Schizosaccharomyces pombe: one gene and its partners. Changing the gene in region 3 together with the main gene of any one other region gives a genetic interaction. Each region holds a gene or a part of one and is shown on either strand. Other genes may lie near its edges. The genes, in order: hos2, pfd1, fft3 and set3.

Region 1 (7,349 bases), 1.1 Mb from region 3:
ATGATGAACTTTGTCGGGTAAATCAATGTTTACCACTAACTGGCTATACATGCCTATAATCACTCTTTGTTATTCATTTTTGTTAATTTTCTATTCTTTACCAAGTTTAATTATACTAAATCGATCAATTTTTTTAATTGACATTAAAAGAATTCTCATAAGTACGTTTTTTACTGTTTTCGTGATGTTGTTAGAGTATCGTAGCTATATCAGCGATTTCAAACAGAGATGGATAATCTGAATTAGGATGTCCCGAACATTTTCTATCTGACATAATTTGTATGCTCTTACCATATATAAATTTTAGTAGTACATAAAACATAAACTTGTCAACGACGGCTTAATGTGTAGTGCTTTGAATCCGATGCTCACCGTTTCACCGTAGCACTCGCGTATCGCCAGTTACTTTACCTACTGCCAACACACCAACAAAGCTGTAAGATGTCAAAGCTTGAAGCCCTTCAAGTTTTCCTGCTTGAAAAGCTAAACGAAAAAAATGAAATTCCAAACACCAGTCATTTGGAATTCGATGGGAAGAAGTTAGGTCCTCAAGAAGCTCAATCGGCGATTTTGTCATTAGCTGCTAAAAACATGATTGAATTTTCAAGACATGAAATTGAAATTTACAATTTGACTGCAGAGGGTGAAAACATTTGCGCAAATGGTTCTCATGAAGCCAAAGTTTATAATGAAATTTGCGCTTCTATGAGCGGTTTAAATATTGGGGAACTCAAGGTAAAGTCATTGGAATCGTAGTTGTGAACGACGAAGCATTTAAATATAATTAAGTCTAAACGCCCGGTAAATATTGTTAGTTTTTTTTTTCTAGCATTATGTTGCATTTTCGATTTTTCGCGTTTTGATGCAACACCTTTTCATATCGCTACGTCTGCCTTTTAGTTTTTTTGTACTTTTTCTAACTGATTTAGAAAAAATTGGGGAATTCGGCTGGTATTGGTCAAGGAAGAGCCTTTAAACTCGGTTGGATTAAGAAAGATGGAGACAAGCTTGTTAAAAATGTAAGGCAAAGTTATAGTAGTGCAAATTGATTTAACGTTATGCAATATTTTATTTACTAACTGACCAGACTGATTCCATTACAGATGAGACCCCTAAGGTCCTTAGTGAAATTAAGGAACATGGAACTATCTCTGACAGTAAGACGTTAACTGATTTGAAGAAGAGAAAGCTTGTTGAACGTAACAAAATTATGTACTTCTCTTTGAGGAAAGGTCCAAATTTCTCGCTTCAAATTGAAAAACTGAACACCGATTTAACTGCTGAGATGATCACCTCTCGATCATGGGAAAGTGCCAAGTTTAAATCTTACAACTTTGCAGCTGAAGGTATACCTCCAGCTGGTGGATGTCTTCATCCTTTGATGAAAGTACGTGAAGAATTCCGTAAATTTTTCTTCGAATTGGGTTTTGAAGAAATGCCAACCAACAATTTTGTTGAAAGTGGATTTTGGAACTTTGATGCTTTATTTGTCCCCCAACAACATTCAGCAAGGGATGCTCAAGATACTTTCTTTTTGAAAGTTCCTGCTTCTACTGATAAATTGCCAGATCCCGAATATGTTGCTCGAGTAAAGGCCACTCACGAAAACGGTGGTGAGACTAAGGGCATTGGATACCGTGCTCCCTTTTCCTTGGAGGAAACTCGTAAACTAGTTCTTCGTACTCATACTACTGCTGTCTCGGCGAATATGTTGTACAAACTTGCCCAAAATGGCTTTCACCCTGCTAAATACTTCTCAATTGATCGGGTCTTCCGCAATGAAACCGTTGACGCAACTCATCTTGCCGAATTTCATCAAGTCGAAGGCGTAATCTGCGATAGAAATATTACCCTCGGTGATTTGATCGGTTTCCTTGAGGTGTTCTTTGGAAAAATGAACGTTAAAAATTTGCGCTTCAAACCTGCTTATAATCCTTATACTGAACCTTCATTGGAAGTCTTTTCCTACCACGAAAAGCTTGGTAAGTGGGTTGAAGTCGGAAACAGCGGCATGTTCCGTCCGGAGATGTTAGAGCCTATGGGATTACCTAAAGATGTTCGTTGTTTAGGTTTTGGTCTTTCTTTAGAGCGCCCCACTATGATCAAATATGGTGTGGCCGACATTAGACAATTGATTGGTCCTAAGGTTAACTTGGACCTAATTGAGGCTAGCCCTGCAGTTCGTTTAGACAAAGAGGAATAAATTTAGTGTTTTTTTTTGCATAATCGTTTATAAAAATAATACATAATCACTATGGTAAACGTATTTTCGTATAGGGTCAATTATTAATATTTACAATGTCTATAAACATTAACTAAAATTATTTGATGTTTGTACGGATATCAAATAAAAAGTCGAAAATTCATTAATATCAGCCTCGAACGCGAACATCCACAGCTTTGTCTAAGTATTCATCATTCAACCGTTCGTCTTCTTCTTCCAAATGCCCAGTTAAGTCTGGTGGAATTTGCTGCATCTGAACGCTTGGCGCTCCTCCTAAGTAACGTAATTGCTCCAAGGCCCGTATTCGAAGATCTTCAAGAGCTTTCGGTGTATTTTTATTTTCTATCTTCGTGGTTAATCGCGGATGGAGGGTGTAATCTGGTGCGAAAAATTCGTAATACAAAGTTTCACGAGGTAATTCTGAAGGTATTTGTTCGTTTACACATATGGAAGTTTCATAACACCACGCTCTAGCAACATTTCTAAGAGTATAACCACCACCTCCAACTACAAGCATGGGTATATTGAATGAACGGGTAAATCTAACACATTCCCCATGTGCATGGATGCTCAGATTGAACACGCCGAGCCGATCATAACCAAGCGAATCAGCACCACACTGAAGGACAATTGCAGAAGGTTGAAAAGTATTGATAGTTGGTTCAATTATGGATTTGAAAAGACTAGTGTACTGTTCATCACCAATACCATCTTCCAAAGGAACGTTTAAAGCAAAATATTTCCCTCCTTTCACGCCATTTTCATCAAAATTACCAGTTGCAGGAAAAAAATCACCATTATACTTGTGAAAAGAAACCGTCAACACGCGGTCAGATTCATAGAATGCTTGCTGCACACCATCTCCATGATGAATATCGATATCGATATACAAAACGCGAGGAAAAAACCGTAGCATGTTCAAAATTGCTAGAACAATATCATTAACATAGCAGAATCCACTAGCCTCACCACGCTTTGCATGATGGAGACCACCGCTCCAATTGATAGCAATGTCTGTTTGACCTTGCACTAACTTCCGAGAAGCATCCAAACTAGCGCCTGCCGACCTTTGAGAAAATTCATAAGTGCCGTCAAAGACCGGACAGTCATCACCAATATTGAATTGTTGGAACTTATCAGCAAATTGTTCAGCATTATCAGGAGTAACGCGCTTAAGGAAATCCAAATAATCCTCCCTATGAAATTCTGACATTTCACCAAAAGTTGCCATCCGGGGGCTGAATACACTCATTTTGTTATGCAACCCATAACCCATCACTAAATGATTTGTAATGGTAATTCGATGGGGCTTCATTGGATGTTTGTCACCATAGTGGTAGTTTCCCACCTGTTCATCTAAGTGATATGTGACACGCTTTTTTTGAGGTCGAAAGCTAAAAAAAGACCCCTTTTCAACTTGTTCATAAGGTGTGGATGTCTCAGGAGTATCCATGATATACAGACTATTATACTAAAAAAAACCGCGAGACAAATTAAATGAAAATATCTTTTCTAAAGAAAGAACAAGAAAAGAATAAATAAAATTAAGAAACAAATTAATAACTGTTTCAGAAGAAACAAGAGAAATGAAAGTTATTGACCAATGCCAAATTAATATAAATCGAAAAACAACCCAGATTTTTTTATAGAAAAGAATTCAATCCAAATAATAAACAGCAACACGAACTGTAAATACTTTATTTTTACGTCGAGCGCAGAATACGTAGCAAAAGGTCGCTAAACCCGATACCTTATTAGATAAAATGTACAACTTCAACAAAGCGTTAATTCAAACTCTTTGAAGCCCATAAACACAAGAACAAATAGGATTTACAATTTTTTGAAGAATTGCTAGTGCTGGTTCATTCTTATAACTTAAAAATGTATATCTCAGTGAACACAGAAGGAAGCTACCAACTTAGGTGTAGTTTAGTATGTTATGCTTCCATATATGAACTAACACATTAATAACGTATCGTTATTACTTAAACAGATGGTAACCTTTAGCATGTGAATTCATAGACAATTTGGCAACTTAGATATCATACATACGTTGAAAAGATTTATCTTCAAAGTGATTTGGTTTGCGTGAATTCTTATGTTTTTATTTCGCCCTCTTTGCCTTCCAGTACTGTGTTTACATTATATGGAGTGGCGGAACTCAACACCAAATGTGGGCTACTATAAACAACCGGAAAAATTTTCAGCAGCTTAAGAGAGTGTAAAAATAATCTTTAAACGACACAAAAACGAGCCATAGGTTCATATATATTATTTCAATTAGTGTCTTTGTCCTTCTCGTTTGTACATTTATTGTCACATTCCTCTACTTTAAAAGATAAAGTCATAGTATCTTTTATTCATTAGTTATTGAAGTATCGAAAATATTAGTGGAATATCAACTTTCCCTATCTCTTTAAAAGACTCAAATCTCCCTTTCTTTTGGAATTTGAAATCATAATAATAATTTTTGCATAAAGCGGAAATTAGAACGTATCTATAATTTTCAATTTGAGAATAATGGCAGATGATACAGCTTACATACTAAGTGAGTATTTGCAAACGTTGGATAATGTTCCCAACGAAACAAAACACATCTTTGACGAAATTAGTGTGAAGGAAGTTGCTGTACATGACATCTGGAAGAGAATTCAAGCAGCTGATTCTCAGATTCAGTCATACATTAAATCACATGGTTCCTTGACCCCACATCCAAAAGAAGATGCTTTGTATTCGACGATTCGCGAGGAGTATCAAAAGGCAATTAATATACAGAACGAGAAAGTCCAGTTGGCGGATCGTGCCAGATTGGGACTTACACGGCACATAAAGCGATTGGATGATAGACTTGCAAAGGCCGGTCATGGATTTACAGCTGCGGAATTGTTAAATGCTCCTGACTACTATGCTTCTTCACCGTATGGTGGATACAGTCCAAGTGGTGCCTCAAGTGCTCGTCAAACACCGGCCCCTTCTCGGTCGGGAGCCTCAACAGCTGGTCGCCGTCGTACTTCAGCAACTACCAGGGGTGCAATTCAAAATGGAGTCTATCACTCTCCTTATACGGCTTCGTTGGCAGATTCTGGTTCAACTCGCGGTCAGAAGGTTTCGAATGCCACTGCAACCACCCAGTTAGAAACTAAGGCAGATTCCACAACGCCGAATGAAATGGTCTCAGAAGAAGATATGGAAGAGGATAATGAAAAGTATTGTTTTTGCCAGCAAGGATCATATGGGCAAATGGTCGCTTGTGACAATGCTAATTGTGAGCGTGAATGGTTCCATATGGAGTGTGTTGGTCTTAAAGCTCCTCCTGAAGGTACATGGTATTGCGAAGCTTGTAGGGATCAGAAGCTTGTTGATGCTAAGTAATTTTTCCCCAATCTAAAGTCTGTTGGTCTTCCCATTATTGAATGCAAGCATTGTTGTTTTTTTTTGGGCTTTAATATCCGCTAATTTTTCACCTGTTCCGAACTTACTATATTTGATTATACGTTGTTCAAGCTGTGTATATGTGATTTGCAAAATGGTTAATTTATTAATCATATCTTCACGATTACGAATCCTTTTTATCTTATTCTTGTCCTTGTTTGTTTTTCACTCACATAATAAGTACCAGATTACTTGTACATTAAGAAATTCAGTTCTTTAATTTCCCCAATCCTCCCCAAAGCAGATATTACACGCCGTAGCTAACCACAGTAATAAGTCTTTTGTAACTTTATTATTTGTAATTGCATTTGTTGTCCATTATTTCTACTATATTGGAACTGAACTTATTATTGTACATACAAAGGAACAAGATGCAGCGTCTAGCGTTTTCATATTATCTCGTAACATATAAAAGAACTCTTACGCATTCGGAAAAAAGAAGAGGAAATTTTTTAACCATAGATATCACTAGATAAATTTGATAAAGTGTATAGTACAAAATAAAAAGAACCCCAGATTATAATGGAACACTAAAGTGCCAAAAATTCACAATGAAAAAGCGTATATTAGCTAGTGTCTAATCCATTTACTCAGAACCGCTTTGGTCATCCTCTTCATCACCAGAGATTTCAGCATTTTCCTTTTCAAATTTTTTCATCAAATCGGCAAGCTCCAATTCGTCAGTTTCACTAACCGCCTTGGGTTTCATTTTAACAGTACAGGTACCATTGGATGCTGTAATGGATTTTTCGATTGCACCAATTGCCTCTTCTAGCTTTTTGAGACCCAATGACTTATCTAATGCGTTTGTCAAAAGGACGTAAAGTGGAGGAGCAACAAGTTTAACTTTGATAGGAACCTCCTCGGTATGAACATCTTCAGCAGCCTTCAAAGCGGCCTTGATAGCGTTAATACCTTCGTAGCCAAAGCAAGTGACTTCAACGTCAGCACGAATTTTAATGGGCTGAGGCGTCAGACGACGAGAGATTTGAGCCAACAAATCATTAATAACACCCGATTTGGGAGGTTCTAAACCCTCAAAGACATGATCTGGGTTACTAATAGCAAGCTTAAAGGCGTCATAAGCATGTCCATATTTGCGGTATAATGGCCATCCAATTGTGGTATACATGGTCTCCAAAGGAACATTATGCTTCTCAGCAATATGGCGCATAATGGAATGAACAGCCTTAGATTTGTTGAAGCGTTCTTCGCACTTTACAACATCCTCAGGGCTAACACGGCGCTTTGAAAGATCGATGTATCCTTAATCCTGGTTAGTACATTCCTAACAACTTATAAACCTTTTTTCCCCTTTTGTTTTTCTTTTTTTTAAAAAAAAAAAAAAAAAAAACTACTAATAAATTCTTACCTTTTTCCTTGTCGACACGTAAGACCACGACGACTTCATTACGACCAACGCGAATATGCTTTTGTACTGAACGAATACGACGTCTGGAAAGCTCAGAGAGCAAAACCATTCCTTCAATATTATCGTATTCCAACAATTTTACATAAGCGCCCATCTCCTGGATTTGACGAACTATTGGAAATATTAGCCATTACCGTTTCTTTAGACAGACAACATGTGCATTTTTTACATACCGTTGACAACAACGAGTTCATCCACTTCCGGGAAGCGATTCTCGTACATTCTGCAGCTTGTCGTCGACATTTTTGCAAAGTGTTGAGT
Region 2 (6,964 bases), on a different chromosome or scaffold from region 3:
ATTACTATTATTATTATTATTATTATTCATTTTTTTCTTTAAACGGTCGTTTCTTTCTCTTTCTTGGGTGAAATAAGCTATTTTTTATTAAATACTACCCTTACTCGTGCTATTTTTTTCTTCTCTTTTTTTACTTCTCCTTCTTTGCCGTGCTCTGTTTATTACTTCGTCATGTCCGAAGCCACCACTGCCACAACAACCGGTAAGCCATCCCGCTCTACCAAGAATCCTGACGCTCCTCGTCCTTACAAATGCCCACTATGCACCAAGGCCTTCTATCGTTTAGAGCATCAAACCCGTCATATTCGAACGCATACGGGTGAAAAGCCTCATGTTTGTACTTTTCCTGGGTGTGCCAAACGATTCTCTCGTAGCGATGAATTGACGAGACATGCACGCATCCATACAAATGCAAACTCTAGAAGGAACGCTGCTGCTGCCGCTGCCGCTAATAATTCTGCTAGAAGCTCCAATTCTCCTGCTGGCAATTTAGAACCATCTACAAACAATGCTGGTGTGCATATGACCAATGCTTCAATGAATCCTAATGTGAATCCTTCCTACCCCGTGTTCATTCCTCAAGTTGGCATGTCGGTTGCACCTCCCGTCGCCACTGCCGCCGTTTCCATGAGTTATCCTCACCATTACTCGGCTTCAGTGCAACAACAACAAGCTACTTTCGTTAGTAATGGACAGCCTCACAACCTACCCGCTCAAGCTCAACCTGCCACTATCTACGGTATTCCCGATGCCCTTCATACCACTCAAAATGGTACTACAATCCATGTTACGGGTACCCCTCCGGGTGCTGTTTCTCAACGCTCGGAACCCGATTCCAGATTGTCGTCCATGAACGAGATGCAATTGTTGGCTTCAGCGGCTGCTAATCAATTGGATGCTGCCCCTAGAATCACTCCTACAAAGTCTTCGGGTGTTAATTTAATGCCTTTATCTAATGCTCCTTCCCCACCGAAGCAGATGAATGTAGTAGGTAGTCTGCCATCATCATCCAATACTTCTCCTAATCATCTCGCATCGGTTCCCAATAGAGGCTTAACTTCTAACTCATCCACTGGTTCATTTACAAAGTATACTAATGGCTCGAGCAACTCTTTATATAGTAATTCGTCTATGCAGACTCCCTATCTGCCTAGCAAATCTAACAGTAGTACTAGCCTTCATTCAATGTATGGCGTTGGTACTACGGCTTACGCTCCTCAGTCTTTACGTTATGCCCATTACAACTATTTGCCTTATTCTCGACCCAGCGTATCCAATGGCTTTGATGATGATTCTTCGTCAAGTGATTTTGCCCATTTCCGATACCAGCGTCGCTCTCGCCCGGTTTCCCCCTGCAGCACTGCACCGAGTAGTCCTACCTTTTCCACTAGGAGCTTTAGTCCCACCCCAGACGTCACACCTCTCGTTACACCGGCACATTCTCCTCGTTTGAGACCCATGGATGATCCATCTTGCGTTCAATTACCTTCTATCCGCTCGCTTTCTCTACGACCTTCTCAAGTTCCGTTAATTCCTCCTTTGAAGTGTGATCCTAACGCCTTTTCCGCGTCTACACCAGCCTCTGGTGCTGTCTCTCGTACTCCATCGTCCGTCTCTCTGAGCTCGCTCTCCAACGTTAATAGCAGCATGCCTCACAAACCTGCATCCCAGTCGAATGTTGGTCCAGTCCGTATATCATCGAATCGACGATCACGCAAGTTCTCCTCTTCTTCGCGTGTGAGTGTCAGCAACCTTTTGGCCGGATCACCGCCATCTCCTTCTTCATCCACAAAGTCGGCGTCGTCTTCCTATTCCACCACCACACCGGCATTTTCAATAGGGCCGTTAACTCCTATGACCAAGCCCTAACCCAATATTTGCGCTGTGAACGCTAGTTACCTTTGCTTCCTTTAAACCATCTAAACACCTTGGTTGTGTGTTATGCTATTTTATAAATTAAGTATTAAATTTTTTATTAGTATCATGAGTCTCGACATTTGAGGTTCCATTGTTCAGTTTTTCTTTTTTTTTTTGTTTTAAATTTTTTTTAAACTTCTTGGCATATAATTAGTAATGTTATTTTGTGTTTATTAGACTGCTTTCATAGGTGAAAATTTATGTTATATGTTTAAATTACTTCTTGATCAGTGTATGGGTACAATAGACCATAAACTAATAAAGTTATTTTTTTTTACCGATGGTGTTTAATCCTTTTTGCTTTTATTTAGCTAAATTTATTGTATATAAAGTTGTCTGCAGATCTTATCAAAAAGTTGAACTGCAGGATCTACATTAATGACTTTAACTAGAACTACAGCAAATTACCATCATAATTTAACGGCAACTTCACAATTCGTATATAGAATTATTATTTTAATTCAGAAACAAACATCTGATATGAGAGACCTTCAAGTCCTAATATTGTCGCCATAGTTAATATTAATACATTACTACATACTTTGTTAAACAATGATTAGTGACAGTTCGTTTCGGATAATTTTATTCATAAACTATAAGTAAGCTATAAACTATTCCTTGTGCATCTCTCAAAAAGAAATCAGAAGTTAATGGAGAACAAAACAGCTTCCACACAGTTAATGATATCCTTGAAAAAATATAGAACACCTTAAAGTATGGGTCAGTAAAACAGCCAACACAAAAGTCAGACAAACAGACGTTGAAAAAGAAAGAAACAAAAGGGAACGAGAAATCTCAGACTGACGTGCAAATCAGATGGAAAAAGTTTCAGCATACGATGCTCAGTTGAACTATGCTTTTTTGGAATCATCAAAGAAATCCTTTCTCCATTTACTTTTCCAAACGTCAATTCTAACAGTAGAAAACTTACCTTAAAAGTATAACATATACTAAATTCACAAGTCTTCAAGCTTGAAATTTAAGTATCCATACACAAAAGCGCAGTCACAGTGATCAAAATTTCGGCTCACAAATGCCCCAGTATTTGTTAGAAATGCAAGAAGATTAATGGAACAAATTTACTTTAATTCTACAGTTTTAAAGATAAAAAAGAAAGTCATAAACTTTCCAATCCCATAATCCAATTTACCAATGAGATGATTATAATTGATGTTTTAAGAAATCGACTCTTTTATCTTTTGTAAATGCTGCTCAGCATTTGAGGCCGTTGTTTCGTGATATGTTTGTTTCTTTTGTAGTGCTTCAATATCTTCTCTTAAACTTGCCATTTCTGCGTCCAAATGTGTACGTACGGAAGCCAAATCGGATTTCATAAACCTGTAAATAAACAGTTAGTAAATGACTTTACATATAGATTGACAGTACGGTCAATTCCATTCCAAAAGTGCTGTTTTTGCTAATTCCGTATTCTTTCCCTATTTTTATAGAAAAGAAAATAAAAATACATGTTTCATTTTATGACACTTACATCTTTCCAAGAGAAGTATATACGGCCTTATCTTCTCCAACATCCTCTAACTCTTTTTTGGCTAATTCACTTATTTTTAGTGCCCGTTCCTTGGCAGCAATCTGTACCATTATGGTCCTCAGTTGTTGCTGTGAATCAACCGCTTTCTCTTGTATTTGACTAGCTAACTAATATGCCCAAAGCTCATTAGTTTACCATGTAACACAGTTAAAAAGAGGGAAATTCCTAACAAAATAATTCTCTTCTCAATGATGAAATACGTACATTTTGCATTATTTAAAGGAAACTTGGGTATATCTCAAGAACTTATTTTTTTTGGATTGAATTGCTCTTTCCAAAATTATGGTACAAAGAATAGTCCTTTTAATACTTTTTTTATAGACAAATCAAGAACTTTTTCAATATATTTGAATATACCACCTTTACAAGTATATCAAGTCTTAGGCAAAATGTTGGTTAGGCCTTAAGTACAAAGCTGGCATGTTACAAGCTACTTTACACTGCTTTTATTATCGGTACGTTTCGCAAATGTGAATTACATAATACGCCACAATTTGTAATAAATATTTTGTGAAATGTTTTGCCATATCCTTAAGTTCTTCCTTACATAAATTGTTGGCGATGGCGTTCACAAACGAATCTTCATTTCATTCCTTCTCTGTTTCAAATTTTTGTGGAAAAAGCATATCCATATTCTTACTAAATCGGATTTCTGGACTTTTCTATTGCTTTGGAAATCCATTATCCTTGTAGTTCACTCATTTGCGCCTCAAATCCTTTATAATTGGAATTGGCTGTTTACATTGATAATTTAGCATTTTTGCATCATACTCAACCCTTTTTTTCTTCTTTTATATTTGAGTTGTTGAATTTTTTTTCAAGTGACTGTAGTTTTTTCAACATTTTCCGTTTATTTATATTAATCCGCCTTTAAAATAATTAAGGCACATTCAAAGACCAATATAGGAAGCAATAACGACATCATGACTGAAAAACACACCCTTCGCCTCGCTGATCCTTCTGCTATTGATTCAATTATTTCTGTTGATGAGTTTCTACAAATCAAGGAACAATACGATGCAGAACAACCTCTGATTACTTTACAAACCAAATTTAACCTTGCTTGGGCATTGGTACGCTCAGATTCTACACAGCATGTACAACAGGGATTATCTTTGTTCTGCAGCATTTACAAAGATTCACCGGAAAGGCGTTTGGAATGCCTCTACTACATTGCTTTGTCCCATTACAAATTGAAGCAGTATGAAGAATCCCGTCGTTATCTCAATATGTTGTTATCCAAAGATCCAAATAGCCCAGAGGCTTTAAAGCTAAAAAACCGTCTTTACGATGCTGTTACAAAAGGTATGTTTATTTTAATAAAACTTAATGAGGTATCACATATGCATGAATGTTGTGTTTATGTTAGAAAGATGCGTTATAAATAATGAAAAGAATCATTACTAACCCGTTTTTAGAAGGATACATTGGAATGGTTGTGGTAGCTGGTGCAGTGGTGTCAGTTGCAGCTCTTGTAGGTTGGGCATCAAAACGGTTGTTTTCAAAGCGTCGTCCTTAAACCGTAAACGATATTAATCACAAGGGAGCTTTCTTTTGCATAAATTCTTCAATTTTTTCTCCTTACGAACAATAGGATTGTGGATGTATCCTTTTCATGAAACGCGTATGAGTTACGAAGGCTTTGGGAGACATTATAGTGTGCACTTTTTTTAGAAAAAGAAGATTATAAATCGAAGCTTGTTGTTTTTATTATATTATCTTTTCTTCTTACCCAGTTGATAGTTCTGAATTCGCTTGTGTTTCTTCTTAACAGCAGGGTAATAAATTTACCTCAAGGAGGTTTTAGATTGTTATAAAAAGAGAGTGAGTATTTATTATAAAAGCTGAATAAGTTCCTCCTTTTATACTAATTCAAAAGTTTTGTATCGATTAAACCAAAAAATATAATGATGGACATTAATGAATGATTTTACAATCCAATTCCCTCTTCCTGTTTGAACAGTTTATTAAGCCCAATAAAGAAAGAAAGAAAGAGTGTACCTTCGTCGATTTTCCAAGAAAACATCCAAAGACTCAAGTATTTGAGATGATGAGCTTTATAAACGAGATTTTGTTAAGACAGACTACGAAGCCTTTCCTCTAGCTTAGCCACTTGAGACTTCCGACCTTCCAAGTGACGTCCCAAAACATTAAGTTGTTGTTCCAGCATTTTTAAGTCATTATCAATGGCGGAAGCGCTGGGGCCATTTGGTCCATCATTTTTTAGAGATTGAAGGATACCCAACTTATAGTCAAGTACTTTCTGTAAATCACGTTGAATAAGCTTTGACTTATTTTGTGCAATGTTAACATCGTCAGTTTCACGTTGAAGGGAAAGAATCTTTTCGTCCAATTTGGACAGCTCATTTCTTAATGAAATCAGCTCCCAGTCAGAGTCTCTCACATCCCTCGGGGCATCAAGATCACTCTTCGGCTTCGCACCACCCGTAGATGGAGCCATTGTAGGTGAAGAGTAATAGTTATTAGTAGAGTTGTAGGAATCTAAATTATAATCGATATTTCCTCTCTTAAAACTAGCCTTTAAACTGTACGGGACATCATTAGGAATACGGAATCCGTTGGATCTCTGAGTAAGGATGTGCAAAAATACTAAACACTGATCTTTCTGTATGGTTTCAGTACCCTGAGGATTGACAAGTTTCCAAGCCTTCTGAATTTGAGAGTTGGGAACCCCAAAAGGAGTAAATACAGGTGCCAGGCCATTAAAAGATACTTCTCCGTGTTTATTGCAATGTAGGGAGTAAATATCGGAATATCGAATTTTATCGGATGGAGAAATGTACCAATCAAATCCATCTTTTAAAACGGCATCTTCCGGGTCGGTATCAAGCGAAGGTACTTTGTGTAAGAGAGCAATATCATCATTTCCACGAAGAGCATCTCGAGCTGCTACTAAATGCTTTTTGGAAGTAGACACCAACGCCTCGGGTACTCTATCTGGAACGGTTTTGTAAACCTAATGGTTAGAAATGATGAAAATAGACAAAAAAAGAAACCCTAAAAACCAAAGGTAGCCTTTCACAATAAAAACAATCAAACAAGTGGAAGGGATAAAAGAAAAAATGAAGGCTTTACGCAAGCGCCGTCTTCTTAAATCATTCATATCTTATTCCATCTTTTTACATTTATTTAATCCATGCTTCACAGGTTCATTCATGAGTAAAGTAAGTGGTTTCATACCCCATTAATCAAATCAAAGGTGATTTTCATAGCAATTGCAAATTCATCAAAATCAAACATTCCATCATCATCAATATCTATCCATATTCGTAACATTAGCACACGTTCGATTAAACGACTCAGACCGCAAACTCATGTTTTCCGTACCTGCTAAATCCCAAATTTTTTCCAATTTATCGCTTGAAAGCTTACTACTACGGAGGACTCCAGCAGCTTTGGATCCTGATAAATAGCCATTTTCTGGATTCAAGCCGCGAAAAATTTCCCAATACTTATTTTTCTCTTGGGGATCCATTA
Region 3 (9,191 bases):
TGCAATTTCTAGTTCATCATCGGATACATTACGAGAACCGTCGGCTCCAGCATAGGAACCAGCGCCCCAGCTGGAGCCGCCATGAATGGACTCAACGTTAGCCATGAGTGAAAATGTATTCTTATAGCCAAGAGGTACAAAAATCATTCCATGATGAACAAAGCTGGTCATGGCAGTAAGAGCAGTGCTTTCTTGACCACCGCCCAAGGTACCGGTGGAAAAGAACTGACCAAAGTACTTTCCATGCAAAGCACCTTGCACCCATAAACCACCAGTGGAGTCCCAAAAAGTACGGAACTGAGCAGGAGGAGTGCCGTAGCGTGTAGGATAACCGAAGAGGAAGGCATCATACTGCGTTAAGACATCGAGTGTAACAACAGGGTAATTGGGTTTGGGTGCAGCATGCATCTTCTCCAAGATTTCAGGACTCAATGTCTCGGGGAACTGATAAATGACAGCTTTTCCACCAGCTTTCTCAATGCCAGCCTTTTCGGCCTCAGCCAGTTTGACGACATGGCCATAAGTGGAATAAATCACAATAGCGACGGTGTTTGCGGTAGACATACTGGGTTTAATAAAACGCTGGAGTAATAAAATAACGAAATCGAAGCACGACAGTGAAGAATGAAGCTGTGATTGAATTTCTTTGGAACGTTTAAAAATATAGGGAATTTTACGTCCTTATATAGATTTTTTGAAAGCCTCCGATGTGTTTTTTTTTATTTCCTGTTTTTTTGGGACCAGCGGTTGATTACCAAGATTACGTAAACTACCTTTGGTTCATCCTAGGATTGTGAAAATTGAACCATTTCTGACTAATCCTATTCAAACAATGATTCTATTATTATTTTATTTCTTTCTCTCTCATTCATGCTCACTTTAGATCAAACAAACCGATTTTGTGCTTGAAATACTTTCATTCCACAGGTGTTGGCATTTGTTATTACCTGTCCCATTTTCTGTAAACTGAGGTTACATACTTTGGCTCGCTTGATGAGTTTTTGGTGTTGACCTTTTGTATCGCTATTTTCATCTTTGCTTTATCGATGTAGCTGCGCCACTGTTGGCCTAAGTGGGGGACTTTGGGTTTCTCTATAGCTTTCCTACTAACTTAGTACTGGGAAAATAACATGGTTACGGTCACCTCTAATTTAACACAACCCAATGGAAAACATCGGTAAATCGATAAAACGTACGCTATTTTAAGTGCAAAATGCATTGATGGTCAGCCAGTCCATCATCATCCTTGGAAAGTTTTTGTGTATGCAAGGAATTGGTCAGCACTGAAAACAAAAGAAAACGGTTATAGAATGAAGTGTTAAACCTCTTCCCTTTCTCATCATAGTATCAATTTTAAATCAATCAATTTCATATATTCATATGTAAAACATCATACAGGATAATATTCTTGAGAAATTTGTAGGTGCTAAAAGACAATAGCAAATAAATCGCATAATCAAAACAGAGCGATTTCTCAAGAATGATTAAAAAAGAAATAATAATTAAAAGTAAAAAACCAAATAAAAAGATGAACGAGTTGTAATAAACTAAGCAAATAAATTAACTAATTAAATAAATAATTAATTAATTAAATAAGCAATAAAAAAAAACCCCAGGAAAATAAAACACAATGATATTATACAATGCGTTTAGGATCACGTCTTAATACAATAAAATTCGATTCTTAAAAAAAAAAAAAAAAATTTCAATGGATTATTAATGTTTATTGCAAAATCTTTAATAGGAAGATTATAGCAATTCAATCGATGTTCAATACAAAACTGAATACGGCTTGCGTTTGAAGATTGTATAAATTTCCGATATTTAATTATTTATGCAGTTTAAAGCTCGCATTCTCTTTCGAGTTGACACTGGCAATTTCATTATTTAACCTTTTCAACCCTAACTGAATATGATATTCTTTCCAATTTAAAGCTATTTTATTTATAACCAATTTTCAAAAAATAAATAAATAAATAACTAAAGTCAATTCACTAGCCCGCTTAGTGCACCTCTCAAGTTGAACAAAGAATAAGAAAAATAGTACTTGCCATTTAGTAATAATAAGTTGGCATAGACGAGACAACGTAGTAATTGTTGAAGGAATAAGGAACTTTTAGGTTTTTAGATGACGGTTCTACAGGAACGAAAAACTTTCTACCATGTTCATTAGACCATCGCCTTAAGAAATGGGGAAGTGAACAAATGAAGGACCGATTATGAGTAGCAAGCTGAAGTATATCTGAAACTAGATATAAAGGTGTGGGAAACACATATTTGACGGTCTCATTTTGAAACACGTGCCCAATGTTAGAAGACATTTTTTTTGTAGAAAAATCATTTTCCATACTTAAAACAGACGGTGCATTGATTCCAGGCAAGGATTTGTCAACGTGACACACGTCCATCAAAAGCAGACTGTGGTGCGGAAACTGTTTTGACAATCGTTCAAAAAATCTAATGGCTTTCGTAGGATAGTATGTGAGTTTTTGCGTGCTAAAAAAGGACCAAAATACTTGTTTAACACCGGAAAAGTACCGTTTAGCCCTGCTGTCGCTAAACCCTTGCTGAACATTAATCCTAGCTTGTTGAAATGCTAAATGGTAATTCAAAGAGCTAACTTTTTGGTGAGTATTTAGAGTGAAGAATTCGTTTAAAAAGTGCTCTGGACCAAGCCAGCACCGTTCCATCATCATGGCGCCGTTACTCTGACGAAATAAATCATGACCGAAGGAGCTAATTACCTGTAATGCCAATACAAAGCAAGGATTTGTATCAGTATGGTTCCACGTTAATGGATCACTAACATATATATCAATATGATCTCCATGCTTTGCATATCTCACAGATGTCAACATGCTCTTAAACCAGCTTGCTTGCCAAGAATTATGCAAGACTATATTGTATGTAGTACGTCCATAAACTTCAAGGTGATTTTTATAAAGATAATCAAGAATATCCAATGCTATTATTCCAGTCCCAGAATGAAAATCATATATTTTCAAATCAAACACCGGGAAATATCGAAGTTTATACTGCAACACCAAGTAGTTACTAATGGACTCAGAGAATAGAGACCTTTGCTTTTCATAGATGTTTAATGCCTTTTGAGGAATAGGTATTCCATGCAAAAAAGGATCAAATTCTTTGGAACATTTATGCCCTTCTTTCCTTAATACATGTACAGAATGGCTCAAATTATTGGTTGAGCCTGTCCAAAGTCGAGAATAGTAACCCTTGCTGGGATCAAACGTAGATTCATGAATATAATCGGCTAACGAAACCTTAGAATCGCGGTGCAACAAAAATCCATTATCAGTAGTATACCATCTTCTTGGGCCATGCAAAACTAGACCGGTATTTGTAAATGCAAGAGCACTAATTACTCTGCTTCCAAATAATAATGAAGCTTGATAAACTTGAGAGCGACTTAGCTTCCACATATAAAGATTCAGCATTTAACACTCTTTGTAGTATTAAAATTGAACAAAATTCATTATTTATTCGATTACTATTATTCGAAGTTGAGAAATAAAATGTAATAATATGATTTCATAAACTTACTAGGTGAAGTGCTTTCCTCTGTCAACTTTTGTTTTGCAAGTTTTAGAACGACTTTGGATAATAAGAATCGCTTATTTGCTGTATTATCTTCAAAAAAGACTGACCATTTTCACGACGCGTTTTTGGCGTGGTATATAAATGGTGTCAAGAAGCTAAAAGCTTTCATATTAGGTTGAAGAAGTACTGAATTTGTATCATTCAATAAATAGAATTTACTTTTACAAATCAAATCTTTTAATCTGATTTAGTGAAACGGGATCGACTTATAACGTGCAAAACACAAATACAGATAATACAATTGAAAATAAAGAGAAAGGTTTACTCGAATAAAGTAGAAACCTAATCAATTTGACTATTTTAAAACTAATGCATAAAAAACCCTGTATAAACTAATCATCGTCATCTTCAGCCTCCACAGTTTCGGCATTGCCGGAAAGAGTCGCATCCAAAGCAATTTTAGCGTTGGCTAAACGTTGAATGTGCTCTTCGATGGTATCCTTGACAACAAATTTATAAACTGTAACTTCTTTCTTTTGGCCAACTCTATGTGCTCTATCTTCCGCCTGAAGGTCATCGAATGGATTGAAAGAGACATCATAAAGAATAACCATATTAGCACACGCAAGATTGATACCAAAACCGCCGGCTTTGGTAGAAAGAAGAAATACATTAATGCTTTCATCAGCATAAAATTGATCGATGAGATCCTGGCGGAAATCGACTTGTGTAGAACCATCAAATCTTAAAAACTTTAGATTTAATGATTTCATGACAAGTTGAAGAATGTCCAAAACCTGTGTAAACTGACTAAATAATACAACTCTGTCGCCATTTTCAACAGCATTAGTGAGCAGTTTTTTAAGTTTTCTGACCTTTGTGGCGTCCATCCAAGGTTCATCTTTAAGTTGGAATGAATTGATAGACGGAAATTTGCAACACAAATTATGTAGCTCAATATCTGACATGTACTGCATGTCTTCAAATATATAAAGTTCGTTTGCCTTTTTGTATTGGGGTTCATTCATAATAGCTTTCGCCATTTGTCGAAGGATATCATCTTTATAATGAATTCGAAACAACATAGGGTGATCCGCAAGCTTACGAAGCTGTACAAGCACAAAACCAGCTGTGCTTTTCTTCTTTGCAAGATTTGCATTCGTATCTAAATTAGTTTTCATGACATTTTCATCCAATAAAGAATTTACACTTTGTTTGCTAGCGAAGTCATCATAACGGCGACGTTCCTCTTCGGAAAATTCGCAAAATTCTATAATACGCGTTTTCTTCGGCAAAGCATCTAACACCTGGCTCTTTTTACGGCGAAGGACAAATGGGGCCATCATCATTTTGGCTCTCGATACTCGCTGTTCTGAAAGCAATGCTCGTTCAAAGTCGCTTTCTGGGGATTTTTTCATAGTAAAAATGACATCTAAACTTTTCAAACCATAATCAAATACATGAGGAAGAATGAACGCTAAAAGCGAAATTAATTCTTTAAGATTATTCTGTAGCGGTGTACCAGTTAGCAAAACTCGAAAGTCGGCAGGAATACTCATCAAATGACGATATCTCTCAGACGCACGGTTTTTCAAGTAATGACCTTCGTCATATACACAAACATTGAACTTTTGGTTGCGCAAAAACAAACGATCAGCCTTACTAGTAGCGGCTAAACGGTAGGTGGTTAACATAACGTTATAAGAATCTTTATTAGAGTTGATACGTTCACGAATTTCTTCACGTTCGACTTGCGATCCATAATAAAGTTCAATTTTTAGCTTGGGACAGAACTTGGCAAATTCACGTAACCAATTCTCCATCGTTGAAGCAGGTGCAATTACCAAATGTGGCCCGTTAATATTTTTATCCATGAGTAATGAGAAAAAAGCGATGGTTTGACAAGTTTTACCGAGCCCCATTTCATCAGCCAGGATACCAGCCAGTTTGAGCTCGTACAAAAGGTAAAGCCAATTAATCCCAATGATCTGATAATCCTGTAGTTTGATATCGGGCGAAAAAGATGCAGGAGGTGTAGTGATAAACGAGGAATTTGCAGGCGTACCGAAACTTTTCATTTGATCAAAGTTGACAAGAGAAGTTTCACCTTCATCAGATGTAGCAGTGTTTGACAAGCCCCACGCTTCAATGCCGCGCTGAATTTTACCACCTAGCTGCTCACACTGACGAATAAGCGCATCCACTACGAAATAACCACGCATAATTTCCATACATATACCAACTAAACGTGGTCCAAGAGGAGTTTTTTCACGTCTACCTCGTCTACCTTTGGGAATCACCGGACGAGGTTGCTTAACGACCAAAGCAGATTCAAGATCTGGAAAAGGTCTTTTGGCAACCATAAATTCAGCTTCAGCAAGCGTACAACCTGTCATGTCAGCCAAATCCTGTGTTGAACAACGATTCATATATTTAAGAACTTCCTCCTTTAGAGCAGCAGTATCTATACGAGATGCCCAGCGATCTGCATTTGAATCATCATCAGAGTACATATCATCATTGCTGTCATCGTCAGCTTCAGGCTCATAAGTCTTTCGAGATGACAATGGCAAGGTAAATTGAAGTCCGTTAGTAAGATTATTAGCAGCATATCGTTCTCTCATTGTAAGACGATGTGGGGCTGGCTTTTGATTTGTAACCTGTGAACTCAGTGATTGAGACGATAATGAAAGAGGTAAAGAATCGCTTGCTTCTTCGTCATCCATGTAAGAGGGCATTTTGGGCTCTGTCTCAGAGAATTGAGATAAAGCATTGTAAACAGCGCCGTATGGATTTTGGGCATCCATAAATTGCGAAGGAGTGCCAGCAGAAGGTGTAGGAACAAGATTTTCTAACGAACCGGAATAATTATATGGTTGATTTATGGAGTTAGCAGAGGAAGTAAATGAGGGAGAAATATCACTCAACTGCTTGAAATGTTCTAAACTTGAAATGGGTGCAGTAGCCTGAACTCGTTTAGACATCTCTGAAAGAATCTGAAGTCGCGAATTCATACCACCCCCCATAACATTAGCTTTTTCGGTAGCTTCTGAAAGCGAATCAGCAATGAAAGGGGGGAAAATTGGCTTGCGCTTCACGTTGGAAGTCGCGTCGTAATGCGTGCCATCAGCGGTATGCTCTATTTTTCTTTTTCCATCCATAATTAAGTAACAATCAATGTATCCAAGCAAATGGCAAAAGAAAATTGAATCTAAAATATAGGATTTGGAGAAAAAATATGTAAGGTCACGTGTATATTATGAATAATTTTATCACACGAATTAAGAGCGCCGAGAATAGATGCAAAAAGATTGAAACTTTTTAAATTCTCCTAAGATTAATTAAAATGGAAGAAATAACGACAAAACAATACAGATTTCTTGTTTCACGCGTTTCTTGGTAACTCAAATAGTTGAAAACTTAATATGGGAACAGCAGATTACAAAAAATTTTGAGGGCCAAAACTTATTGCAATTTCTAAAACAAGAAACAATTCCTTTAGTTACGAGATGTGTATGAGTTAATTAGGATAGACCACCTTCTTCTAATACATAAGCGTTGTTTCGAGATGATATGCAGAATTTAATGAAGAAAAATAAAATGTAAATGAAAAGTAGACAAAAAAATTTTAAAATATAAATTTAAAATTTTCCTGATGTTTAAGATGAAGCAAACTTGGTAAGCTCTAGCAATAAACAAATACTCGCAATTAAAGATCACCAAAAACGACTTATACTTTGGCTATCCAAAAACAATCTTTGTTTAAAAAAAGAAAAAGAAAATTACCAAAATTAAAATAATAACACTCAATGAATCGGATTGTTAAAGAAAAAGACTCCAGTCACCCAATACCTTCTTTTGTATTATGGAATTATTCGGTATAATTCAAGAGCACACTATGCTGGTAGTTTGTTCTTGATGTGGCACGGGGGCGTGATATGGTGGTAGTGGTCCCAAATACTGATGCTAAATAATGCCTTAAACGTTGTAACGTAGTTTATGGTAAAGCTATATCATGATGGCAACTTGCTCTTTATATTACTAAACATTTAGCAAAAGATACCGTGGCGAAATTGTCTTTATTCTTTTATAGTTTTAATAAAATCATTAAACATAACTGCAGATACTAGAGATCTTTTGTCACTGAACCTTAAGAAATATGACAACAAATAGTGTTTCGTTATATTATGGCAGCGTACCACGTTATGTTTTCTAGGTGATACTGCAAAAGCTAATGTTAAAAGAGGATGGTTTGGGTTCTAGGATTATATTATTTAGTTAATATTTTATTAACCTATTTATTTAGATAAAATAGTTTTGTAAAACACCTTGCTCATCACTCAAAGTTATTTAGCAAAAATTTGAGTGTCGAGTAACAGGCTACTTTAAGGAAATATTTTTAAACGCTTTATAAAGTAACTATTTGCATACGATTGTAGTAATCAATACGAACATCAACTGCTAAGTAGCTACTTCGGGGATTTGAAGAAATAGAAGTCCATCTACTCATTGCATTGAATTCGTATAATATAATTTTTTCTTAATATTTGTCGTTTTTTCTGTCAAAAATATCGCATTGGTTGTTCAATTCTGCAAGAACAGCCAGGAATGCAGTTTCACTTTTAAATTAATATTTTTGAATTTGTCCGTTAGGAGGCCCTTCGTTTCTAAGAATAATTGTTTAAAAACCTGCGCTGTTTATTTTTTTTCCCTTTTTCTTCTTTGTTTTTGCTTCATTATTTTAACAACACCTATATTGTATACAAGTTGACAGTTAACGTAGTAGGAAATTAATATCCTGCTGGGTTTTTAAGTTTTCTTATTGCTGTGCTATAATTGAAATTTGCGTACCACTTGAAGGCATTGTTGGATCTAAACTGAAGGTGTGTTTGTATGCTGCATGTCAATAAATGCCAATTATGCGAAACAAGACGTCCTTCTATTTGCGAAAGCTGTTTAAAAAAGCAGCTTTATGATTTTTATCATAAACGTGATGAATTCTCTCGAGATATTGAGTCAGAGCTTGAAAAGGTTGCTAAATTGAAATCAGAAAGTTTCTCTCTAAAAGGAAAGATTACCCAAAAAGAGGAATTAACTTATCGACTACAGAACCTTGCTGCCTCTCTAAACGAAAAGAAATCGTTATCGTGTGACTTGCATTCCCGCAAACAGCTTATAGAAGATGACTTGTCTAATCGCAAAAAATCAATTAATATCGCGAGTCAAAAGTTAGCTGGCTTATCACATTCAACGAGTGACTATTTCTCTAAGGAATACCTTACAGCTTATCGCCGTTCTGAGCTACTTCAAAATAAATTGCATGAGTATCAAAAGAAGCTGATAACAAGGGTTTTGGATATGTATCAACTTCACTGGCAAAGGGATTTAGTGCTTAACACTCAGGGTTGCACTCAAAAATCTGCTCAAATGGGATCAGAGTTTAACCCTGACTCCATAGATTCATCTCTTGCGTATAGACTTTCAAAATTATCAATGGGCAATTCGAAATCCGACTTATCTCATAGTGACAATGAAACAGGACATTTTTATAGCAACTTTTTTTCTCAGGTGATGGAGTTAAATGCCTCTGTGACTATTTCTGGCATTCCTGTATGTATCAGAAGTAAAGA
Region 4 (9,040 bases), 2.9 Mb from region 3:
CAATCATGTTTCTCCATATAAGATCGGACTTGTCGTCTTTCCTACAAAACCTTTGATCAAATAACTCGCTTTTAGATGGAGCAAGTCTTCCTTCGCCCATTTCCGGGAAAGTACAATAAATCATTCCGGCATCCAATCCAGCAACAAAGGCACCGGACAAAAGGGTGATCAGTACCAAGCCAACAAATGAGTTAACACTAGTACGAAATCCTTTCATTTTCTGAACTGAAGAAACCATTGAAGTCAATTGAGATGTGGAGCCACTCTTCATAGATTTCAAAAAGGCATGTCGTTGAAGGATTCCATGCCCAGTCCACACCAAGCCAATATAGAGAGCAACGGCAGCGGCTAAATGAGTAGCCAAGCGATAATGACTAACACGCGGATGAGAACCATCACTGAAGAGCTCTTCTGAAAGACCACTCTTGACCATCCACCAACCGATGACTCCTTGAAGTCCAACGAGTCCCGTAAGGCCGATTAGTCGCTTGCTTAGCCAAGGAGATGCCCTTTTAGTCACAATCATGTATATGGAAGGAAGAAGGATTGTCAAGCCGATTCCTCTACCGAGGACACGATGAAACCACTCCCAGAAAAATATGTTTTTAAACTCATCCACTGTCATATGGCTGTTCAGCTTCTCAAACTCTGGTGATTTTTTGTAAAGCTCAAATTCTTGGTTCCATTGTTCATCAGTAAGAGGAGGAATTACGCCAGTGATGGGCTTCCATTCAGTAATACTTAACCCGGATTCAGTTAGTCTAGTAATGCCACCTACAACAACAATTGCAAGAACAAGAGCAGAAGATCCAAGCAGCCAAAAGGCGACCTTTTTACTCGGAATTTTTTCGGTTTCCTGTAGGATGCCACCTGGTGTAGGAGCGACTGAGTTACTCAGCCGGCGAGCAAAAAACTTTTCAAATGAATTTTTATTAAACTTACAATCATTCAAAAATAAATTCTTAGTCCGTGACAAATTAATTTCATTTAAAACACTCGATCCAGAGAAGCTCCTGCTCATTCTCCAACTTGACCTTCCAAGGCAAGAAATGTCGCAGCCTTTCCGTAAGGGCTGAAGCAGGAACTGTCTCATCAGACCTGATGAACGTGAAATGTTCATTGGTAATTGTTTACTTTTGTTTGCGTTTCGCTTAAAAAAGTAGGTTCATGGAGAGAGAGGAATGGTACCTAACCTCCCGGTTCTATACCACAATAATCTAACGGCGCACTTTCAGAGTCGCTATAAGTAGACAAGCTATATTAACGTAGGCCGTTTGATATATACAAGATCTGAGTGGATCGTCGATGAATAGTTTAATTTGATGCGACAATTCGCTGAAATCTGCACGTAGCATATTTGAATCGATGTTTATATTTATGATACTTAATACTCAAAATGTACTAGCTTCATTTGCGTATCCAAAAAGTTATTTAATCTAGTACATGTCGCATACGGAAATAGCTGACATCTTAAATAGTTAGTTCTTATAATCTTACGAACCGAAACTTCTATATGACAAACATAAATCATTTAACTGCTATAAATTAATATTATTATATTGTACAATGTTCTAAACGTGCAAATTAGGAACAGAAAAATGCAACGACTGAGGGTTCGTTGCTCTGAATCAAAAGAAACTAAAAAAAAAAAAAGGAACTAGAGTTTTCGCCCAAACACTTAGTCATTAAATATTTACAAACGAAGAAGAAAAGAATGCAGAAGCAGGTGACAGTAAAATATGCTCCGAGTACCAATCATCATAATAAAAAAATGAAATGAAAATACATATGAAGGTAAAAAGATGCAGTCATCGTACCAACTTTAGAATCGTGAAAACTTGTTCGTATACCATATCCAATAAAAAAAATCATCCACACATTTATATGGTTTCAAGATTTACAACATCTTCTAGAATTTTTATCGCGTAAATGAAGGGTTAGAAACTGTAGCAGCAGGAACGGTGTGAGGCCTAGCTGTATCGCCATGTGCTTGATTATCCTTCGACTGTTGATGCAGAATGTTTTGTTGACGTCGTTGTCGATACTCAGAAAGAGATAGCTTCTTCGGTGCTGAGGTAGGAAGAGCAGAGGCTGAAGTGTTACTAGGCTTGACTACACTTCCTTGGACCAGATTCGAATTGGGCTTGTTTTCGCTTCTTGAAGTATTTAACGCATTCGAGATATCATCACCGTTGTTGGCTTTGTGGTCCAAAATGTTTGGATTGTTCGTAGGAAATTGGTTGTTTACCAAAGCATGGCGACTCGTTATAACTGGTGCTGGAGCTGTCGGCAAAGGAGGCGTAGTTACAGGAGATTTATCAAACGAAAACCCGACAGGACTAACCGAAGGTGAATGGGATCGAGTGCCATTCTGTCTAGAAAAGTTAACGTCAGAAGACCTTTGAGTGTCGTGAACATGCGATTTATCTTTTACAGTCCTTAACGTATTAAAAAACATGGACCCACTCTTTTCTTTACTCGACGGCTCGAGTTTCAATTTTGAATCTGAATTTCTATGGAAAGAAGGATGGACCTTATGTGGTCTGTCACCTTTAGTCTTAAAGGCTTCCGGCTTCCTTTCGATAGATAGCGATCTTTTATTATAATCAGGTTTGCCATGAAAATCATTTGCAATGCTACGGCGTCTTTTAACTGACGGCAAATGATCAACAGAACCATGCTTTTTGTGGACTGTCGTAATAGTTCCTAATCCTCTTTTGCAAGGAGAAGTTTTGTCCAGCATATCTGGGCTTGTTCGAGGATGTTGTAATGGTGAGGCTGATCGCCTACTTAGTGATTCTCCAACATTAAAAGATGGAGGAGTTGTAGGGGTTATCGAGGATTCTTCAGGTTCCTTTGCTTTTTTCAATGGACCATCGGATTGTAATGCAGCATCGGGTGAAATGGGCGATAAGACGTCTGCAATGCCCACCTTAGAATCAGTGTGTAAATCAGCAATATCAGTTTTCTTGTCCCTATTAGAGGAATCTTCCTCAACAGAGGGTAGTGGAGATTGTAAATCTTTAGTTGGTTTTTTCTCCTTCACAGATGGCTGTAACTTCGGCTCCATGACTACATCGATTCCTACACTTTCTGTGGGTAATGACTTAACAGCAGGCCATTTTTGCAAAATACTAAGACGGTACTTATCTAACCAAAACTCTTTCAAGGATTTGGCATAGACCGATGTGGGGTTTGAAGGTTGCGGTAATGATTCAGCAGGGCTAGGGGTAGAAGGGGTTGAGGAAGGTGTCAGAGACAAACGGTCTTTTGCTACACTGACACGGTTTGCAGTAGAAGCGCGGCGGGCCGCTTTAATATATTTAGTAACTCTGGAAAAAACACAGTTTTTCTTATCCTGTGAGGCACATTCGTTAAACGACAGGAAGGTAGAAAGCACTTCTGAAAGTAATTCCAACTCTTCCATATTGAAGGAGGGTCGCGACATACCAGGCGCAAACTGGCGAAATGGATGGGAAATATCGAGAGTCCAATCCCCAATAATCTCTGTTTCCGGAGCTATGTGAGTAGTTGAATAGAGGATAAATCGAGGAACACTGTTAGACCCATTCATGTAAACACTTGAAACGACGGAGTTTGACTGACAACCTTTACGCGCAAACCTCGCTTTTGAACCAGCAACCCGTGAGTCAACAACAAGCTGAGAATTTGAGTCAAAAAAGACATGTGGCTTAGGAGCCCCCAAAATATTGTACTGGTTTTTGGGATCACTTTTGTATTCATTCTGCGTACAAACCCTTCCTTTCACCTCCATAATGGGTGTATTTGGAGGAATTTCGCAAGTTGACACCAAACCAAAGCGACTACAACAAAACTTTGAAGATGATATAGGTACGACTTGGCATCCATCCATTAAAACTTCGGATTCATCTAAATTCTTTAAATCCAAATTCTTAGAATACTCAAGCGCAGATGCAGAAAAGGTGTTTGATTCCAAAGGGACGTATTCCAAGTGAAACGAATACACATATTCGTTAGAAGCCTCGGTGATTGGAGCCTCTGGTGGGTTGTTAAGGTGGTTGGATCTTCGTCTGCGATTCTGAGAATGTGGAGCATGAGCATTGGGCAATGTTGCACCAGTCACACTGTTACGATAAGACCCCGAGTTCGAAGAGTTGGTAGACTGTGAAAATAAAGCGCCATTAGCGCCTGTGTTATTGCCTTGTCTCGGTGACGCAGAGTGTGTAGGACTAGCACCATTTTTGCCAAAACTAGTTCTTCTCTTGTTGTTGGAAGAACGGGATCGCGATAATATCCTAGACTGCTCTTCTTCGCGCTGTAACCTAGCTAGTTGAATTTTATGCGCCTTGTCGGCATCGATAGGACGAGGTTGGCATTGTTCACAAAAATATTTTTCAGGAACATTATTTGCATCTATGTTTACACAAACGGCGTGTTGCCATACCTCGCAACTTTCGCATTGGATGGTGAATCCGTCATCATCCTCGAATGGACAAACGCATCGTATTTTCCACATGCTAACTTAACCAAAGAGAAAACGATCAACTTATAACAAAGTAAAGAAGTATTTCATAAACGCTAATTTCTGTACAGGAGCAATTTAACCTTGGAAATTACTGCTTTCTTATGAAAGCAAAGATTTTAGCCCCAACTATACCAATGGCTATCTCGATTATCTGAACTCTCCTAAAACTAGGAATCTAGTATATAAATACTCGAAAAACCATGTAAGTTGAACAAATACTCTGTTTTCAATTTGCATACGCGATTTTGGTAGTTGATACGACGTCGCGATTATTCCGCTCTTCAACATTTCCATCCACCGAGTGTAAACACACGTCCCATAAACCACGTTTCCGCAGTCTAACGTCTCCTCGGTAAAAACAAAGAGAAGAAGATGTTGAAGAATAGTTCATTTCTCTATGAAACTTCTCATTTTACATATTTTAGAAGGTAATAAAACTGTCAAGGAGTTTTTAATGAGTCTTGCTAAGAAACCATTTTGAAAAAAAAAAATCATCTACTAAGACAATGAGTTGAGATAAACGGCAGGTGCAATGTGTCAGTAGTTAGCTAATGTATGGTGTTAGTGAGTGTGCGCAAGCAATCGAAAACGTCAATAACGGACTCGCAACTCTAAAGAATTAACAACCTTTAGCATTGGACTGTAGGGTTTAAACAGCTTTACAAGGAGAGGGATCTGTTTTCATGAGTTCCACAGTGATATGAGACTTGAATAGGCTTGTCAACTATAGAGAAATGTATATGCAAGGAAACCAGCATAAATGACAAAGTCTTTACTGTTTTATGACTTACTAAATATACCTCATGGAGAATTGAATCCAAATAATGAAGCAATGTTCTATCGTTCTAGTAGAATTTTACATTTCGAAGAGGCATTTGTGATAAACGAAACTAATAATATAAACCAATTTATTCCTAAACAACCATTTTTCAAACTGTTAGACTGTTGTATCTTGTACAAGCTCCAAACTGAAGATAGGTTCGTTTACAAGTATGTATACACGAAAATCCATTATTAACCATATTAATCTGCACGTAGCATGCAAGTCCAAAGAAGTAACCAAACGAGAAGAGAAGCCGAAACCAAATGCCAACTTTAGATATGCAAGATAAATTTTAAAAAACACGTTTTCGAAGTGTCTAAAGAGTTCGAAAGTGTAAGAAAACCACTCCCCAAAAATGTCTTCTCTTCTACTATTTTGTAAATTTGAAAGGAATAAAACAATAAAATAAAATAAAATAAAAGAACGAAGCGGGACGCAACCAACGGAAGATCGAGAGTTACATTTTTGTAGGAAGAAGAGTGTTTAGTCCATTTGCATGGCTGAAGATGAGTTTCGAGATTTCTTGTTTTTGCGTTTTTTGGCGAGGACGGGAATCTTGACAGGTTCTGCAACTTCTTCTTCCATGGTATACTCCTCGTCGGAAACAATTTGGGGTTCTTGTACCTCAGCAGTTTCAACCTCACCTTCGGGTTCGGTAAATTGAGGAACATTTTGAGCAATGAGTTTTTGAGCTTCTTGAAGCTCTTGGGCACGTTTGCCAGCCAATCTCTTTTTGTAAAACAGACGCTCTCTCTTGGCATGAACTTGGCTAACCCGTTTCATGGCATTCAAAGTAGTTGCAATGACATTACGGTCGTAACGAACAGGAACATTTCTACGAGCTGCGGTAACTGCGAGAGCTGTGTCATAAACCATTTCCTTTCCATGTGCCTTACGGTACGCTTTGGTCCAAGCAACCTAGACATTGAAGTTAGTATACATACATATAGGTGGAAGCAAAACATTTAAAAAAACAATAGAAAACTTTCTTCGTTCATGGGCATATAAAGGAAAAAGTACACCATTTAAGGTAGAATTTGAAGAAGAAAAGTATCATTTCAAAACAAGGCAACAGAAAAAAATTTTTCCTCTTTCAAAATCAATCATCTTCCTCAACCAAGTCTGTATAACGTTTTTGCATTCCTTTATTATAAAAAAAACATACCTTACGAGGATTGCGCTTCATTTTGAAGTTCTTATGGCACTTGCTGCGACAGAAACGAAAGACCTTGGAGTCATTTCTAACAAACATTATTCCATGTCCTGGGTAAACAGGACCCGAGCAGAAATAGCAAGTATGTACCCTAAATTTCCGTTAGTAATAAATACTTTGAAGGCATTTAGCTCTACAAACCTCATATTCCCCCTAAATTCTTTCCCGTCCTTGTATGTTCAAGTTGGCTAAGAGCAGGTAAAAATTCGCGCTCCCTACAACGCACATATTTGAGATGCGAGCTTCTACTTAAGCTGCGTTTTGCGAATTCCAAATATGCCTTATCTAATTTATGATATATCGTTAGGTTGCGTTATTTAATGAAATACCATCTCGGTGAAGTTTCGAGTGAATGGTCTCGGACGCAATCTTAGGAACCTATTAATAATAAATTTTATCTTCAATTTTTGTTAACTCATATCGCTTCTTTATCAAAGGCGTGTCTACGCCAAAAAAAATAAATACATAATATTACCGAGGTTAATTGCTTTTAAAAACACAATCCCTCTATGCATATGCAGTTTACTGGATTGCAATAGGATACATAGACGCACGATCTTAAAAGGTATTTTACAGTATTCACGATATTTGAGCTTTTGAAAAAACGATCCCGCCAGGAGTCGAACCTGGAATCTCTTGATCCGTAGTCAAGCGCCTTAACCATTGGGCCACGAGACCTTGTTATCATTACAAATAAAATATACTATTTATTATACAAGTGTGTTTTACTTAGTCAAATTGAATAAGTCTAGTATTACAAAACAAGAAGAGTCTTTAGTTTTCAAGTGATTTTTGAGAAAATGTAATTGTTTTTTTTTTTTTCCTTTTTTTATTAAATTTTATCTATTTTTCGTACTTACCGATATTTTTTACTTCGTTTTAAATTTTTTAGTTTAGTTATTTACCTTTTCTCCATCAAGACCATACATGATAACAATATTATGTGTACCATAAGTTAAAGAATATTTATTATAATTACTTTTTTTAATAAAATGAATGTACAGGTTATTTTTTTACATATTTAGTTTTTATAAACATTATATCGAATATTTGTGGCAAAGACCCACAAGACAAATGAATGAAGAGAATCACAAGTAAAATAAAAATCGATAAACTGGTTTCCAAAACCATAGTTAAAAAATTTTTATGTCATTATCGTTATATCTAAAACAAATTATCGTATACGACAGTATCCAAATACATCTTCATCTGAAGATCTATTACAAAACGACCCTCAAGGAGGGCATCAATAATACTGCTATTGTACTTTGTCTTTTCTTTTTTTTAAATTCCTTTGCGTTTAAAAGAATATGTCTTTAACTAGATTCTAACATACACCATTATACATTCGTAAAACTGAACTTCAACCTAACTGAATAAACGTCTATCCAGCAAAAGAGAAAAATAAAAAAAAAATAAGGAGAGGAACAAAATCGAAGACATTACAATTGGAGATAGAATAGCCTTAAGCAAGATGACAATTACTTAGTAAAGCAAAATACCTTACTACTAATGTCAGCCAATTCAACGAATTTTGGAATTGTGTAATTACCACTGTACACAATTAAGTCATAGTTCGGAACCAAAAAAACTAAGCACAATTTGTTCCAAAATTAGTTGATTCAACGCCATACAAGCCCAACATTACACCAAAAAAGCCTGGTGAACGTAGATTAAAATATAGAAATAATAGATCCTTTGATCATTAAGTATTCCCTTAATATGCACCGAAAAAAAATGAACTTCACCCGAACCTGCTTCCACATAAACAGGCATCTTAATAACAATCCTAAAAAATCATTCTTAGAAGGGAAATAAAAAAAAATTAAAACGATACGCTTCAATGATTAAGCGCTGATTAAATTAAAACATTATTTACCTGTCCTTCAAAATACATGTTGAAATTTTGCTGGACAACTAGTAAATAAGAAAATAGTACAACGATTGAAAGCGTGTACAAAAAGATACTCTCGGGTTCAGGGATCCAGCCTAGAAAAAATATGGGCATAAGATTCTCAATGCAGTGATACATTCGTGGAGACCAAACGTATTATGGATCTATTTGTCCCATAAATACCTCATCGTTCGCACGATTTAAGTCCATATCGGAATTGTCCTTAGAATAATCATCTTGACTGGAAATACTAGAAGCAGAATCATTTGAGTTGTGGTATCCGAATGCTTCATCCATAGCACTTGCGTCAATATAGGTAAAACCCTTAAACCCATTTTGGACAGTTGATGATAAAGGTGCAGAGGTCGACATTTCATCTGTGCTACTAAAGTCTCTATCGATTGCTTTATTTGTAAACTCGACATCAAAATTAGAAACATCTATTTCACCTTCCACTATTGGTTTAAATGGTGGACTAATTTCTTTCGCAGCGAGTTTCTTCCAATCAATTCCATCAAAAAATGGATGCTTCATTACCTCTTCAACATCCCCATGTGCACCAAGCCTATGCTTTGGATTACGATTCAATAATAGCTTAATCAA

What was found.
Region 1: mutations in fft3 (region 3) and hos2 together harm fitness more than expected from each alone (negative genetic interaction), as found in Schizosaccharomyces pombe (2 studies listed by BioGRID).
Region 2: mutations in fft3 (region 3) and pfd1 together harm fitness more than expected from each alone (negative genetic interaction), as found in Schizosaccharomyces pombe (2 studies listed by BioGRID).
Region 4: mutations in fft3 (region 3) and set3 together harm fitness more than expected from each alone (negative genetic interaction), as found in Schizosaccharomyces pombe (2 studies listed by BioGRID).

The regions. Positions count from the first base shown.
Region 1 is NC_003424.3:3,166,438-3,173,786, reverse strand, and holds hos2 (class 1 histone deacetylase Hos2), read right to left. Parts: upstream 4,117-7,349; 5' UTR 3,678-4,116; coding exon 2,373-3,677; 3' UTR 2,275-2,372; downstream 1-2,274. Other genes in the region: phenylalanine--tRNA (Phe) ligase alpha subunit Frs2, read left to right, coding at 442-735, 930-1,019, 1,088-2,203; png1 (chromatin modification-related protein), read left to right, coding at 4,745-5,596; tif211 (translation initiation factor eIF2 alpha subunit), read right to left, coding at 6,243-6,922, 7,029-7,199, 7,262-7,331.
Region 2 is NC_003423.3:1,753,418-1,760,381, forward strand, and holds pfd1 (prefoldin subunit 1), read right to left. Parts: upstream 3,842-6,964; 5' UTR 3,680-3,841; coding exon 3,671-3,679; exon of another isoform or gene 3,574-3,670; coding exon 3,407-3,573; exon of another isoform or gene 3,256-3,406; coding exon 3,093-3,255; 3' UTR 2,849-3,092; intron 2,806-2,848; exon of another isoform or gene 2,705-2,805; intron 2,626-2,704; 3' UTR 2,484-2,625; downstream 1-2,483. Other genes in the region: DNA-binding transcription repressor, glucose sensing, Scr1, read left to right, coding at 172-1,869; protein Fis1, read left to right, coding at 4,390-4,771, 4,885-4,985; actin cortical patch component End3, read right to left, coding at 5,541-6,443, 6,668-6,744, 6,815-6,962.
Region 3 is NC_003424.3:2,094,328-2,103,518, forward strand, and holds fft3 (protein Fft3), read right to left. Parts: upstream 7,479-9,191; 5' UTR 6,723-7,478; coding exon 3,954-6,722; 3' UTR 3,868-3,953; downstream 1-3,867. Other genes in the region: obr1 (NAD(P)H dehydrogenase (quinone)), read right to left, coding at 1-564; SPOM_SPAC25A8.03C (uncharacterized protein), read right to left, coding at 2,055-3,458; protein Atg14, read left to right, coding at 8,455-9,191. UniProt on the Schizosaccharomyces pombe protein: DNA helicase that possesses intrinsic ATP-dependent nucleosome-remodeling activity and is required for heterochromatin organization.
Region 4 is NC_003424.3:5,037,984-5,047,023, forward strand, and holds set3 (putative histone H3 lysine methyltransferase Set3), read right to left. Parts: upstream 4,762-9,040; 5' UTR 4,499-4,761; coding exon 1,919-4,498; 3' UTR 1,563-1,918; downstream 1-1,562. Other genes in the region: etp1 (monooxygenase-ferredoxin fusion protein), read right to left, coding at 1-1,120; ribosome biogenesis protein rlp24, read right to left, coding at 5,814-6,248, 6,496-6,634, 6,685-6,689; serine/threonine protein kinase S6K family Sck2, read right to left, coding at 8,594-9,040. UniProt on the Schizosaccharomyces pombe protein: Transcriptional regulator that acts via the formation of large multiprotein complexes that modify and/or remodel the chromatin. Required for both gene activation and repression.